Linked DNA regions of Bombyx mori. The protein of the gene in region 2 binds, or shares a complex with, the protein of the main gene of each other region. Links are inferred from orthologs where the notes say so. Each region holds a gene or a part of one and is shown on either strand. Other genes may lie near its edges.

Region 1 (4,049 bases), on a different chromosome or scaffold from region 2:
CTTGTTAGAAAAGTTGAAAACCTTGACATATTTGGCGATTCCCTTCCAATATTTAAGAACAAAATTATAAAAAGTTGTTGTTGAACCTCAGCCTCAGCCTCGGTCTGAGTACTCGGGCATTACTGCCCTTGTTGTCTTTCTTTTGTTTTTAATTTTTTATTATTATTAATAGTATTGTTAAATCTCTATTTATATATTAATGTAATGCATGCTGTGATTGCCTCTAATTAGAGTTGCAGTTATCAATTGCTCTATACATGTCAATGTTATTTTATGTCTTACTGTAAACCCTGTCGGTAATCCTTAAATAAATAAATAAATAAATAAATAAATAAATAAATATGAAAAGTCTGTTACTTGTAGAGGATGAAGAATCAAATTAAAGATTAAAGTTTAGATAAAAATATCTAAATAATAAATATAAAATTGCTGTAAGTATTTTCAGCATAATATCTTGATTCAATTGTGCAAGCCCTGGGTTGATTTTGTCATTATGCTAAGATATAATTGAGAAATTCCAAAAAATATTTTCTTGTTGATTATAGATAGGTTGAAAAGTCCATGGCCTAAATTCAAATTATTTTTAAAAATCTCATGTTGATAGCCATATAATCATCAAGTCAATACCATCAATAACTTTGCATTTGCATTGCATTGGATTCTGGATATAAATATATCTGTGGCAAGAATTAAAAATGTGCCTACACTCAGAACATCAAATATCTGTATCAATTATTCTTACAGGGAATCACAGAAATAATCAGACAAATGACGAAACCTTAAAGTGCATAATACCCAATATTTAATTACCTACCTGATCAAATGCTGGAAATATGTAATCAGCAAATTGTATTTCAGCAATAGCAGTTGCGCCTGCAGTGGCTAGACCTATACCGAAGCCGGCAATACCCTGTTCACATAGTGGAGTATTGAAAACACGGTCCTTGCCATATTTCTCCTGGAATAAATAGGTTACTTTAATGTAGGTAGCTGTGTTATGGTCTCCCTCTCTCTCTCTCTCTCTCTCTCACTATAATGCAATGGTCTTAGATTACCCAGGTCACTTCCAGGACTTCCTGCAGAAGCTGAGATATTGTTTGTATGACACTTTCACACACACTAAAAATGGACTGAATATTTGGATGTTAATTTGCTGCAAAATTCTTGTTCATTGTATTGTATTGTATACTATAACTACAGTACAAATACCAGCAATTCTCTGCAAATAAGTCTCTAACCTACACCAATTTTGTGTGTGAAATATTGCAACCAGACCAAAATGTATGCTTTTTAATACATAAATGATATTCCATGTTTCAATTTTTGAAAATGCATTTCATTTTATTAAATTTTTTATCCTATCAGACATCAACTCCTGGGCCTATCTGGTTGAAGTGGTTGTCAGAGTCCGTGCATCTTAATTTTGCAATTAATTTAATTAATTATAAAATTAATTAATATAATGTTTATTAATATTTTTATATTTGGCCACCTGACTTTTCCACCATAGAAAACAGTTTTTTTTTTTTTTTACATTAAATTCAAATATTAACATTGGACTCGACTTGAACTTGCCTAGATCTTACTAACTTGACTAGATCAGACTTGAACATTTTAAAAATATAAATAGAAACTTTAAAACTAAACTCTGATCTGAACTATCTGACAAATTTTGTAGTTAAGAATTATTTTTACCTGTAACCCCAAAGCACATCTGAAGACACCCCCGAATGCGACATCTTCACCGAACAATACAGCAGTTGGATTATTCTTCAATGTGATGTCCATTGCATTGTTTATTGCTTGCATCATATTCATCTTTGTCGTTTCTCCTGAATAGCACATAGAATCTCGTATTTTAAGTGTGTTTAACTATAGAGCTGGCAGGCTCATTATTCAACTGATTTTAGACAGTTAATAGCAAAAATGCTGATTTATGAACAAGATATTATTTGATGTGTATTCTTAACCACCCACTGATATGATTATGAGCGCTTCAATGCACGTATCTAAGAATTACAAAAATATAAAAGTATTTAATAAATTATACGATCAATGAATCAAATTACAACTTAAATTAGTACAATTCAAATTGTTCAATGAAAACATGTTTGCTCTATATATCATAAAAATCTCAAGTCACACTCACCATCTACTGGCCTTTCTTTATCTGGATAATAAATAAAATGTGAAGACATTCTTTTAGCGTAGTTATTAACATTTCGAATTAATTTATGGAACACAATACTTTTTGTACTTAAACTTGTCATTTTTAACGTCACGAAATCCAACGACTGTTGAATTGGGTAATAAGCTGTTATCTACTAACGTAATTAACTTTGCTTTGATTAAGAATCATTGATAAAGTGTGTGACGAAAGAATTAGCATTTTCTCGCGTTAGTCAGTATTGTTTTCCTACTTGTTGAAGTTCAGTTTTTATTACAACTTCGACTCTATTTGTACGGGATAATGTTTACTTTCAAATATCTTATCTTTCGAAACAAGTGTAGTGACGGCAATACCGGCACGAACTTTGGTCTTCGAGAATACTTTATTAAAATGAGTTCAATTTACATTTTAAACAAATTAACGAAGTTTTCTAAAAAAATTTTAATGAGCCTATCATTAACATATTATGCACACAAAATAAACCTAACATTAATTATCCAATCTTCAGAATATTTCAGTAAATTGAAAAACTATTCGTTTTTAACCGCTTCGCGACACTTCGCGTTATGTGCCGAATCCGAAAATTCAACAATAACATTACTAAATTTTCTTGACGTTGACGTTGACGTTTTCAATAAAACGAGAAGATGTCACTGTCGTTTTTTGTCCTACTTCGAATATTGTAAGGTTTCCAAAACCAAACTAGCGTCGAAAAGCTATCAGGCAACCTGATATAGGTAACTACAGCGGAATCCCTAATAAGCTTTTTGTTAATATGATACATTACACTACATTTATTGTTGTTCACTACTGCTACTACTACTATACATTATTTGAGTATAGATATTTGCTTAGTTTAGCTAGTATAGCTTAAGAGAAAAAAATCTACCCAGTTCAAAACTCTCTACGTTATCTTAGTTGTTATAAAATTCTTCAACTTCAAACCTACTTCAATTGTAATGTACTTAAACTTCTATGGGTTTGAAGAATTCGAATAGTTTAATCTCCAGGATTTTAGCTATATAATTTTTTTTTCAGACTGCCCATGCCGCGGCGCCGACGTCCTCTGCTGGAAATAGGCCAAAATAGCTCCCTAATCACACTTAGGCAATTTCTCAAAACCACATCAAATATCTCATTGAATATTCCATGCATAAGTGTTAGTAAAAAGAAAGTTCCCACTGCCAAAAGTCACATAATATTGAGTAGTTTTTGTTCGCATATATTTTAATTAACATAGTACTAATATAAGTATAATAACTAACCATAGTATAATTAACATAGTATAGTCTGTCAGGTTATCATTTCAAAAATTTAAAAGTTTAAATTAATGACACGAAAATTCATGAATTTGCTATGAATTGCTGGTTTCTGTTGAGCAATAGATGTTGCTTTCAGGGTTTTATTTAGCTACTAGCAAATACCATTGCACAAACAACTTCGTAGATAGGGTAATCAAATTGGATTGAAACATCATTATCTACATTTTAATAAGTGTAATCCTCCAAGTGAAGCTAAATTTTTGTACCTAATTATTTGCCTTATAAATAAAACTAATTTTATTAAATAATAAAATTGTATTTGTTAATGGTTGTTTATAATGTATTTTTTAATGACATTATAAAATATAAGTAGTTGGTACATAAGTAGGGTTTGCATTGATTTTTGTATTTACTTTGCATTTTACCTGTATTTATTCATTTTGAGGCCGCACCGCGTTTTAAATTATAATGAAGTACCTAATATAATTTATAAAAACGTAATACCTATAATTTTTTACTTTATTACCTTGATTAAAATTTAATCAACACGGCACTTTTTGAGTACAATAGAACGATGGATCATTCTAATAGTAAAAAAAATCTTTGTTGTTTTGTTT
Region 2 (4,246 bases):
TGTGGGTGTAGATATCGCGTAGCCGTTGTTTCTGCTGCAAGCGGAAGGTATAGTTGAGATTTGAATTCAACATATTTTATTGGTTTTGTTTTATGCACGGCTTGAAGTGATTATGAGAGCCCACTGACATAACTACGTGAATACCGTCACTTCGGACTCATATGTTGGGACATCAGCCGATGACTTAATTGCGTTAAAATAATTTTGTGTAGATTTTTTTTATTGCCGGTGTAGGCAGACCGGCATACGGCCCACCTGGTGGTGAGTGGTTACTGTCATTCATGGACGTCAGCAATACCAAGGGCAGAGCCAAGCCGCTGCCTACCGTTTAAAGTAAGACTGGTAGTAGCGTCATGGTTGACCTGCTACCTATAAAAATCTAAAAAATGTAAAATATCCTACCCTCAGTTAAAATAATAAAACAGTACAGTAAAAAGAAAACAATGATTGCTAAAGAAATTTCAACAATTCCACGTATTTTACGACAAGCTGTAGTTTGGTAATAAGTCGTGGTATCGCTGTATCGCCAAGTTCCGTGCGTGTGGCCGTGCGAAAGGCCACGAGTAGGATGTCCATGAGTGATTTCTTCTTTTGGATCATGCCTACTTCTCGAAAAAATTCGGTGACAAGTTATTGAAATTATAACGATACATAGACGTTTTCACACAAGTTTCAGAACATAGCGTAGGTACAGTCTCGAATGACTCGTATGATGAAATAATGACGTTTTCTAAAGACACCTATGATTAAATTTCGCAATACTGACCACAGCATAATAACAGGACAATCTAACGTAGCGGCAAAGTTGAAAGCCGCATGAGCATCGCCCTCCGAGGCAGCGCCGTCACCGAAGTAGCAGATCACGCAGCGGTCGTTATTCGGAACTCTTTTGTAGGCATAAGCGGCTCCAACAGCCTGGGGCATTTGTGTTCCTGATAAAAAACATTTCATGTACATACTGAGAAGAACTTCTTAGCAATCCATGGACTTACTAATTGCTAAACTAATATCTTATCTAATACGTGAATAGTTAAGTTGTACCTAAAAGTGCACCTATCTTTACAAATCTGCTGTCAAATGATGCCGTTAGATTTTAAAGGCAAAATGAACTTCCCCTATGTACTCACAATACAATATACAGTGGACTATAATTATCGCTCAACGCTAAGTCAAGTACGTCTGTCGAACGAAACCACTTAGAACCACCACTATTTAGAATTTATTACCTAATGGACTAGATATTGTGACCATGTTGTGGTGCTTGCTTCCGTAATGGACCGGCATCTGTCTCCCTTTCCCCGGATCCTCGCAGTTTCCGTAACACTGGTTCACAAGTTCCGTCACAGTCATCCCTCGGTATAAAAACACTCCTACTTCTCTGTATTGACTGAAGACCAAATCTTTCGGTGAGAGTGCCGAGGCGCTGCCTATGTGGATGCCCTCCTCGCCGTAGTTGGTCATATAAAATGAAATGCGGCCTTGTCTGTGAAATAATCAATACAAATCATCATGTCAGCTATAAGATCCACCGCTGAAGATCTTTTCTATAAAATATCCATAGCGATGTGACGGGTTGAAGCGGCCTGCGTCCACCGCGGTTCTGAGGCCTTTGTTAATTGTGTGCAAAGTAATAATTTTTTTATTGCCGCTATGGGCACAAGAGCATACGATCCACTAGATGGTAAATTATCACCGGTACCCGTGGACTTCAATAATTCCGGAATGAACCAGATTCAATCGAGCAATCAAAATAACTATACTATACAGCTGGGTTTTGGCCAGTATCTAAAAATGTGTTTTATAAAACTAAAAGCGAATGAAATTACCTTTGTGATTCATATAGAATTTTATCCATATGGCTCAGTTGTACCATGGTTTTGTACATGTTAATCAGCGTAGCCTTATCCAAGTTCGGTTCTTCATTTTTGTCGATGATCTGTCCGTTATTATCCATAACTCGATAAATCGGAATTGGCTCATAACTAGTTTCGTTGAAGAATTTCATTTCACTCACGTACGGTGCTCTTGCGCCAGGAAATTCTGCTATCTTACCACCGCCATTCTGTGCCGTTTCGGGCCTCGTACGCGTCGACAAAAGCTAAAATGGAATTGAGTCTTAAAAACACATGGTGGAATTCCTATAAATACAAATTTGTTGCGCCCTATTAATGAACTCACCCATTTCACGATATTTGTTATCGATCTTTTTCTCACATCACTACTTTTGACATCGATAGCCTGTTTTCAAAAATCCAATACAAAAGTTTACGATTGCACTGATTCTCGAAAATATTGTTGTTCATACAAAATTCAACTTTATGTTCATCTAGGTAGGGAACATTTTAACTTGTAAATAAACTTTGTGATGAAATGTAAAACAACATGGTTATCAGGCAAAAAATAAAGATTAAATCAAAATCATCAACTTTTCTTATCGTTATGTTGTCAAGGGTATGTTTTTATACTTAAAATACTGTTGTAATTCATTTTGTTAATAATTTTAAAATAACTCACCCTAGCAGCCCGTCGAAAAGCATTTAATTTGACAAAACTTGCTCCGGTCTTCAACGCCATCTTGAGACTGACTTAAAACTAATAATGAAGCACAATCGCTGTTTTATTTAACATAACATTACCAATTATCAAGATAAGAAACTTATGTACGTGTTTTTTTTTTCAATTAATAACGTCATTGGATGTTTCGTACCCTTTTACCTACGTACGATAGCAATTAAAATTACAAAATGTCAAAAATATTAAAGTTTATTTTATTTCTACATGTTGATGATGGAGAACCATTATGGATAAGTTTGCTGATCATGCATCATTTATGACTGCATAACACCATTTGCGAGTCGTAAAAAAATCAATAAATATTCTTGTTATTTTTTTTTATCAACCATTAATTAAGTAGATACCTATTTTTTATTTTTATAAATCCACAAGATATACCTTTTTTCTTGTAAATCCGTACCACCACTCTGCCTATTTCAGCCGTGAAGCAGTAATGTGTTTCGGTTTGAAGAGTGGGACAGCCGTTGTAACTATGCTGAGACCTTAGAACTCATATCCGAAGGTGGATGGCGGCATTTACGTTATAGATGTCTATGGGTTCTGGTAACCACTTCACACCAGGTGGGCTATCAGGTCATCCACCCATCTAAGCAATAAAAAAAAAATGAACATCAAATCGGAAAATATAGAAACGTGCGTAATTACTGGTGGTATTTTATTTATTTCTTTATATATCGTGTACCAACATGATGTACACCAGCACAAAACATTACAAGCAGTACGTGAACACAAAAAGAAACGCTTCAGAGTTCTAAAAAAAAAATAACATTAAAACTTTATTACACATTACTACATTTACCACCAAATACATTATTACGCATCAGAAATAAGCTCATTGTGTAAGATTAAGGTTGCAGACGTCTCGTCTAAAACTTTCGACAGTGCCAACAAGCTCCGACTACCGACTTGTCGTCATGCAACCCCGTCGTCCTTACACCAGTCACGAGGCTCACGGTGGATTGGCAGAAACTGAGCGCCAGCCTTGCAGAAGCCTCCCAACCAATCCTCTCTTATAGCCTGGATTTCACCCCGTCCCCTCAGGACATCGTCGAATCTATAGACATCCTGACAAACCATCTGTCCACCACGATGGGCAATGCATCCCATCAAGTCAATGAGGAAGACTTCTTCCATCGCATCAGATTGTCCCCCGAGCCCAGGAATCTCCTAAAAGTTAGAAACGCATCAATCGGGGCTTATGATCGTCATCCCACCGAATCAAACCGGATTCGGATGTATCGTCTACAGTGGGATGTCAAATCTCGCGTAGACGAAGCCCGAAATACAAGGTAGGAAAGTTATTTAGAAAGACTCGCGCCCTCATCCCAAAGGTACTGGCGACTAGCTAGGACACTCAAATCGGAAACTATAGTCATAGGAACAAGAACAGGATATAGTCACAGGAAACATATATATCGCCAGTTTGCCCCTCAGGACATCCCCCGGCTCTCGATGATAATGAAAAGGTAGAGTCATTAACCGATGCACTGCTAGAGCAGTGTACCACCAATGCTTAATCTGCGGACCCCGAACACACCGTGACGGGGAAGTCGAGCGCAGAGCTTTCTTGCCACCCTCCGACGCGTTACGACCCATTACCTATACCGAAGTCAAAGAAGCAATCGGTAGCCACCAATTTAGGACAGTTATTCCGAAAGTGACATATCGATAT

Evidence for each region. The genes of interacting proteins can lie anywhere in the genome.
Region 1: the proteins of 2-oxoisovalerate dehydrogenase subunit alpha, mitochondrial (region 2) and 2-oxoisovalerate dehydrogenase subunit beta, mitochondrial are in contact, whole or in part, in a crystal structure (PDB 1V16), measured with the Homo sapiens proteins. The link is inferred for Bombyx mori from reciprocal best matches to the Homo sapiens genes BCKDHA and BCKDHB. Residues at the interface, in NP_000700.1 of Homo sapiens: Phe155, Leu185, Gly186, Lys187, Arg189, Gln190, Gly196, Cys197, Lys198, Phe202, Val203, Thr204, Ser206, Pro208, Thr211, Pro214, Gln215, Val217, Gly218, Ala219, Tyr221, Ala222, Arg225, Gly244, Asp245, Ala248, Asn251, Phe252, Thr255, Leu256; in NP_000047.1 of Homo sapiens: Pro89, Thr90, Val92, Asp117, Arg118, Phe120, Asn121, Thr122, Pro123, Cys125, Gln127, Gly128, Ile129, Gly131, Phe132, Ile134, Gly135, Ile136, Val138, Thr139, Asp158, Gln159, Asn162, Glu163, Ala165, Tyr167, Arg168, Tyr169, Arg170, Ser171.

What each region holds. Positions count from the first base shown.
Region 1 is NC_085115.1:1,897,337-1,901,385, reverse strand, and holds the start of 2-oxoisovalerate dehydrogenase subunit beta, mitochondrial, read right to left. Parts: upstream 2,807-4,049; 5' UTR 2,271-2,806; coding exon 2,150-2,270; intron 1,833-2,149; coding exon 1,696-1,832; intron 959-1,695; coding exon 815-958; intron 1-814. UniProt on the Homo sapiens protein: Together with BCKDHA forms the heterotetrameric E1 subunit of the mitochondrial branched-chain alpha-ketoacid dehydrogenase (BCKD) complex.
Region 2 is NC_085129.1:15,377,783-15,382,028, forward strand, and holds the start of 2-oxoisovalerate dehydrogenase subunit alpha, mitochondrial, read right to left. Parts: upstream 2,802-4,246; 5' UTR 2,575-2,801; coding exon 2,515-2,574; intron 2,239-2,514; coding exon 2,179-2,238; intron 2,099-2,178; coding exon 1,827-2,098; intron 1,484-1,826; coding exon 1,227-1,483; intron 933-1,226; coding exon 767-932; intron 35-766; coding exon 1-34. UniProt on the Homo sapiens protein: Together with BCKDHB forms the heterotetrameric E1 subunit of the mitochondrial branched-chain alpha-ketoacid dehydrogenase (BCKD) complex.